Linked DNA regions of Canis lupus familiaris. The protein of the gene in region 1 interacts with the protein of each later gene in a pairwise test. Links are inferred from orthologs where the notes say so. Each region holds a gene or a part of one and is shown in the gene's direction. Other genes may lie near its edges. The genes, in order: TSKS and TSSK2.

Evidence for each region.
Region 2: the proteins of TSKS (region 1) and TSSK2 interact in binary tests that used the Homo sapiens proteins (3 or more experiments, as listed by UniProt). The link is inferred for Canis lupus familiaris from reciprocal best matches to the Homo sapiens genes TSKS and TSSK2.

What each region holds. Positions count from the first base shown.
Region 1 is NC_049222.1:107,465,260-107,469,175, forward strand, and holds the start of TSKS (testis-specific serine kinase substrate), read left to right. Parts: upstream 1-1,289; 5' UTR 1,290-1,374; coding exon 1,375-1,616; intron 1,617-1,987; coding exon 1,988-2,213; intron 2,214-3,916. UniProt on the Homo sapiens protein: May play a role in testicular physiology, most probably in the process of spermatogenesis or spermatid development.
Region 2 is NC_049247.1:30,211,506-30,214,725, reverse strand, and holds TSSK2 (testis-specific serine/threonine-protein kinase 2), read left to right. Parts: upstream 1-1,191; 5' UTR 1,192-1,322; coding exon 1,323-2,399; 3' UTR 2,400-2,530; downstream 2,531-3,220.

The sequences.
Region 1 (3,916 bases):
CCAACATGGGGCTCAAACTCATGACCCTGAGATCAAGAGTCTCATGTTCCTCTGACTGAGCCAACCGGGCACCACAACCGTGTCTTTTTTTTTTTTTTTTTTATAAGAGTGAGAGCATGAGCATGAGTGAAGGAGGGAGGGGCAGAGGGACAAGCAGATCCCCTGCTTGCATGATGTGAGCCAAACTCAGACACTTAACCAACTGAGTGACCCAGATGCCCCCATAACCATGTCCTTAAAAAGGGGGAAGCATGGCTACAGAAATAGATACTTACAGAGAGAGGACAAGAAGACACAGGAGGACATGACCATCTATAAGCCTAGTCATGCCTGAGCTACCAGAAGCAAGGGGTGAGGAACAGACCCCTCTCTCACAGCCTCAGAAGAAAGCCATCCTGAAGATGCCTAGATCTTGGACTCCTGGCTTCCAGAACCGGGACAATAAATGTCTATTGTTTGAGTCACCTCAGTTTGTGGGACTTTGTGATGGCAGCCCCAGGAAACTACTACAAACCCAAACCCTTCAAAATGTCTATCATTGACTATAGTTCAATGTCAGTTTAGTTTCTTTTTTTTTTAATTTTTATTTATTTATGAGAGAGAGAGAGAGAGAGAGAGAGAGAGAGAGGCAGAGACACAGGCAGAGGGAAAAGCAGGCTCCATGCACTGGGAGCCTGACGTGGGATCTCCAGGATTGCGCCCTGGGCCAAAGGCAGGCGCTAAACCGCTGGGCCACCCAGGGATTCCCCCCCCCTTTTTTTTTAATAGGCAAAGGCCACTTGCAGTAAAAGGCTCACATCTCAAAGTGCATAAATCGATGGGCTTTGATGAGCACAGGTCATCACCTCATATTGATTCTCCTGATATCATTTACCAACATCTGGTATTTTGGTTTATTTCTGCCTGTTGCCTGCCTGCTGCCCCCTACCCCAAAATGTTGGATCCTCCAGCAATGGGACTCAATCCTCACTCATCACAGTCTCCCAGACCCCAGAAAGTGCCAAGTCTAAGGTATTACATGAAAAATCAAGTATGAATAGGGGGCTGGGTCACCCCATAGGCTCAGGGGAAGGGAAGTTGAACGCCCCCCAAGAACCAGGGGGCCCATCCATTGTAAGTTCCAGAACAAATCCATTGCAGTTCTAACAGAAGGGACATATCTGGTAGAGCTGGAAGTGTTCATGGCAGACCCTGGGAAAACATGCTGGTTGCCTTTCTCTACTCCTATGCACCCCCCCCCTCTTTACTGGAGCCCAGTGGTTGGGTCCTTTATGAGGCAGGCTGGTGGGGGTCAGGGACTTTGAAGGTTAGTGATCAGAGTAGGTGGAGAGTCTCAGAGGAAGGAGCCCCGGGGAGCAGGGCCACCCACACACCATGGCGAGCGTGGTGGTGAAGACAATCTGGCAGTCCAAAGAGATCCATGAGGCTGGGGACCCCCCTGCGGGGGTCGAGAGCCGCGCCCAACTGGTCCCTGAGGCTCCTGGGGGGGTGACCACCCCGGCCAAGGGGATCACGAAGAAAAAGAAGGCCGTGTCGTTCCACGGGTGGGTTTGTCGCACCCTGTCGGGGACGGTCCTAGCGCCCAGCACTGCCTCCAACAGAGCACGAGTCCCACCGTGGGTGCTGGAGGAAGGGGAGGGGGAGAAGAGGAGGGGGCAGAGGAGGGGCAGACAAGAGGGTGGTGGCAGAGGAGACATAGTGTGGGAAGTGGAGAGGAAGACGGTAGTGGGGATGGAGGGAGGGAGGGAAAGGTCAGTGGGGAAGAGAAGACTCAGGAAGAGGAGCGAGGACAAAGGGAGGGAGAAGAAAGTAGGCAGTGGGGGTGGAGAAGACAGAAGAAATTAGGCAGCGGGGACAGAGGAAGGAAGAAGAAAGTGGGTGGTGAAGTGGGAGTGGAAGAGAGCAGGGGGTGGGGAGACAGGGAGGCAGAAGAGGCCATACCCACCAGGGCTGCCTCTTGAGCACCCTCCCTGTTTCTTCTCCCCAGGGTGGAGCCTCGGATGTCCCATGAGCCAATGCACTGGTGCCTGAACCTCAAACGGTCCTCGGCCTGCACCAATGTGTCACTGCTCAACCTGGCTGCTGTGGAGCCCACTGACTCCTCAGGGACAGACTCAATCACAGAAGACAGTGGCTCACTTGCACTGCCGGTGCCCCCTGCCTCTCCCACCCCACCCTGGGCTTCAGATGACCCAGACATCACGGAAATACTGGTGAGGGACCCTAGCTGGGGAAGATGAGGGTCTTCACCCTGGTGCTAGGCAAATGCTGGGATGGAGCTGGTGGGGGGGTCTTCTTGACTTGGAATGGGAAGGTTCTGGTTACCCTCGAGGCCCAGAACTGCCTCCTCCACCCCTAATGACCAGCTGTGACTCAGTTCCGTCCTGGGTGAATGATGCTCATTGCCTAAGAATTGGTCTTTAGTTCATCTACTCACTTCCACATGTCCTGGGTGAGGCTGGAGTCACAGATGGGAGTTAGGCCTGGTTCCTGAGCATGGGGAGCTCCTAGTCTGGTGGGGGCGACAGAGACAGACTGGAGTGATACATTTCCATAATGGAGCTAATACTGGGTATCCCAGAGAAGGGCCACTCAAACCAGGCAGGGAATATCAGGGAATGCTTCCTGGACGAGGCAGTGTTGGACTTGGACTTTGATGGTATAGTAAGAGTTCTCCAAGGGGATCCCCTAAGAATCTGAGGCAAAACTAGGAGGTGAGCAAGATCTAAGAGGATTTCAAGGATTCCTGGCTAGAGCATAGAATGGATAGTTTGATCCTTTAACTTCCCTGCCAACCTCCACCCCAGCCAGGTTCCCTGAACTGGGCTTGACATGGACTCTGAGAATGACATGAAAATAATCATGGTCGTAATGATGCTAATCAGATTCACTAGCATTTACTGACCACTTTCTGTGTTCCGGGAGCCTCAGTTTCCCCATCTGTAACATAGAAATGGTTGCATTTGTTCCTTCAACAACTATATCTTGAACATCTATGATCTGCCAGGAACTGGCGTAGGAGTGGGAAATATAGCAAGACAGAGTTCTGGATGTAACCACACCCACTTCATAAGGTTGTCATGACAATGAAGTGGCGCTCCTGCATGTAAAATGTTTAGCACATTAGCCAACTGTGAGCACAGAGTAAGTGCTGCTTATTGTTATTACTTATCCCCATTTCACAGATAAAGCTATTGAGGCCTAAGAAAGGTTAGATAGCATGGCCAAGGTCACATACCTTGTAAGTAGTGGAGGCAGACTTAGGAGTTGGGGGGCACCTTGGATGCACTCATTGGGGCAGCAGAGGCTACTGTGGGAGCCCTGGAAATGGTAGTCTTGGCCCAGCTTGCCATGACCAAGGCCATGCTTCCTGGAAAAGGCAACAAATAAGCTGGATCTTGAAGATAAGGAAGGTGTTCCCCTAAGCAGAAGACAAGGAATGGTGTTCTAGCTAGCTGGAACAGCAAGTGCAAAGGGGCAGGGGTTTATTTATTTATTTATTTATTTATTTATTTATTTATTTATAAAAGATTTTATTTATTTATTCATGAGAGACACAGAGAAAGAGAGGCAGAGACATAGGCAGAGGGAGAAGCAGGCTCCTTACAGGGAACCCAGTGTGGGACTCGATCGCTGGACCCTGAGCCAAAGGCAAACGCTCAACCTTGAGCTGAAGGCAGATGCTCCACCACTGAGCCACCCAGGCATCCCTATTTATTTTTTTCAAATTAACATATAATGTATTGTTGGTTTCAGAGGTAGAGATCAGTGATTCATCAGTTGCATATAACAGTGTTCACTAGACCACGTGCCCTCCTTAATGTCCATCACCCAGGTACCCCATCCCCCACCTACCTCCTCTCCAATGATCCTCATTTTCTTTTCTGTGATTAAGAGTATCTTACGGTTTGTCTCC
Region 2 (3,220 bases), on another chromosome or scaffold:
GACCGAATGAGCAGCAAGCCTTCCAAAGTACCTAAGGAGACACACAAAGGATGCCACGTTTCCCAAAGCAAAAACAAAAGGGTTTTCACATTGCTTTCAGGTGCAAGACAGCTTGAGAGACGCAAATGCCAGGAGTCCATCAGCCTGCCCAGCTCCTCACAAGGATCCCCTCCTCATCCCAGTGCCTGCTCTTACCAGAAGCCCTGGCACCAAGGCTCCGCCCAAGGTCCTGCCCCCTCATGGGCCACCGCTCAGCCCCTCTGTCTCCTGCCGCCCAATCACCCATAGGCCTGCCTTGGTCCAGCCTCCTCTTGTCCAGTCAAAGGCATTGGCCTCCACTCACCCCAAAACCGATCCTCTATGTACCCTGCCAGGGACCATCTTAAAACGTGACTTGAGTCATGGCTCTTCTGGCCCCAGACCCTTCCCTTCTCCTCCACCCTCCCTCCAGATGTAAGACAGCCATTCTCAGAAGAAGCCGTCACCTCTTCCAGGCTCTTCCCTGCCTGGATGCCTCACCACCTCCTCTACCTGACCGAGGCCTGGCCCATCCTCCAGGCAGGCCCCAGCCCTGGGAACACGCATCTGCCAGTGGGGGGCACAGGGCCCTGCCTGCCCTCCCACCCCACACATGCCCCGCTTACCACAGTGGCACTCCTCTGCCCAGCCTTGTACCCCAGAACAGAAACTGCTCTCATTCACAAGGCTGGGTGGAGCCACCAGCCTGGCCAGACCAGGGCCATTCCTCCCAGGCACCACCAGTTCCAAAGACACAAGTCCTAGAGAGAGTTTTCTTCACACCCCAAAGAAGCTGTAGGAAATAGGCCCTAGTGGGACATGGACTGATGCAGAGTCAGCCCGCACAGCCAGGAGAAAGAAACAGGCATGGGGCTGGCACTCTGGCCTGACCTGGGGGGCCCTCCCTTGGGCCTGACTCAAGACCAGGAAGCCACAGCGAGGAGGAGGAGGAGGAGGAGGAGGAGGAGGAGGAGGAGGAGGAGGAGGAGGAGGAGCAGGGAGGGTTACCGCAGTCCTGGGTGCCGGCTTCCTTCCAGTGGGCGGGGAGTGGGCACTCCCACCAGGCCAGCCTGGCTTCCAAGGTTCCAGGGGCCCGTTTCCCCCAGCTCAGTCCCTACTCCCGGCAGGCTGGCTTTATGACTTCACATGCTGAAGTCACGCGGAGACAATGCTGAGCGTTCCACCCCTCCGAGTCCAGGCCCAGCCCAGCCAGACGGCTCCCCACAGGGTAAATGAGGACAATGCCCGCTGGCCCACGTGGGGAGGGGATGTAGAGCGCAGCGGCGCCAGCCGCTCCTGGCACCATGGATGATGCCGCGGTCCTAAGGAAGAAGGGTTACATCGTGGGCATCAATCTTGGCAAGGGCTCGTACGCAAAAGTCAAATCTGCCTACTCTGAGCGCCTCAAGTTCAACGTGGCGGTCAAGATCATTGACCGAAAGAAGACGCCCACTGACTTCGTGGAGAGATTCCTTCCTCGGGAGATGGACATCCTGGCAACTGTCAACCACCGCTCCATCATCAAGACCTATGAGATCTTTGAGACCTCTGATGGGCGCATCTACATCGTCATGGAGCTCGGGGTCCAGGGCGACCTGCTCGAGTTCATCAAGTGTCGGGGGGCGCTGCACGAGGATGTGGCGCGTAAGATGTTCCGCCAGCTGTCCTCGGCCGTCAAGTACTGCCACGACCTGGACGTCGTCCACCGAGATCTCAAGTGCGAGAACCTCCTCCTTGACAAGGACTTCAACATCAAGCTGTCCGACTTCGGCTTCTCCAAGCGCTGCCTGCGGGACGGCAGCGGCCGCATCATCCTCAGCAAGACCTTCTGCGGGTCGGCGGCGTACGCGGCCCCCGAGGTGCTGCAGGGCATCCCCTACCAGCCCAAGGTGTATGACATCTGGAGCCTGGGCGTGATCCTCTACATCATGGTCTGTGGCTCCATGCCCTACGACGACTCCGACATCAAGAAGATGCTGCGCATCCAGAAGGAGCACCGCGTGGACTTCCCCCGCTCCAAGAACCTGACGGGCGAGTGCAAGGACCTCATCTACCGCATGCTACAGCCCGACGTCAACCGGCGGCTGCACATCGACGAGATCCTCAGCCACTCATGGCTACAGCCCCCCAAGCCCAAAGCCATGTCTTCTGCCTCCTTCAAGAGGGAGGGTGAGGGCAAGTATCGGACGGAGTGCAAACTGGACACCCGGCCAGGCTCGCGGCCCGAGCACCGGCCCGACCACAAGCTGGGAGCCAAAACCCAGCACCGGCTGTTGGTGGTGCCCGAGAACGAGGACAGGATGGAGGACAGGCTGGCCGAGACCTCCAAGGCCAAAGATCATCACGTCACCGGAGCCGAGGTGGGGAAAGCGAGCACCTAGCGGTGCTGTGGGCCCGGGGGGCGCGGTGCATGGTGTGCGCCCACATAAACTAAATAGACAGGTAGGAGCTGCAGAAGGCACAGGTGCAAGGAACAAGTAAAATCCGTCAATTAAACCACTATTTTGATTACGTTCTATTAGCTTTCTTCCACTTAGTAGCAAAGACGTTAATTACTGACCACCAAATAAACCACAAAGTGTATACAAGCATCAAGAGTGCCCCGTGAGGAGTCTTTTTCTCTAGGACTCAGCCAACCCCCCTCCCTGCGGCGCGGGGGTCTCCAGCGTAGAGGTGCAGGGCCCGGTGCTCGGGGGCAGGCACACTCACGGTGAGGCCCTGTGGGCCAGAAGACCTCAGCCGCAGCCCACAGCCAGGCCCCCCCACCGTCTCCCTCGGACCTGCCCGGGGCCCAGTGTCCCAAGGCTGGCCAGCCGCACGGGTCTCTACGTTTCGGGCAGAGCACAGCTCACCCTGCCCCCAACCCGATCCTGCTCCCTCGGGCCCCCCTCTTTCTGCGTACTCTGCTCCCTCCATTCCTGCTTTTCAGATCAGTGGCCTGAGCCCCTTGAGTGCCCTTTTGATTGCCAGAACAGCCCCAACCCAGACCGCTCACCCACCCCTTCCTGCCCACCCTACACCCCAGCCCGTACTCGGGGGGCCAGCGCTTGGCCTTAAGTGGCCTTGTCAGGACAGTCTCTCCCCCACATCTCACACCCACTCACACCGCTGCCTCCATGCTGCTCTGGCCCACACCCCCCTCCTCCATGGGGAAAAACAGCAAAGGCCACACTCTCCTGACCCCTGAGCAGTCCTGGGCCTG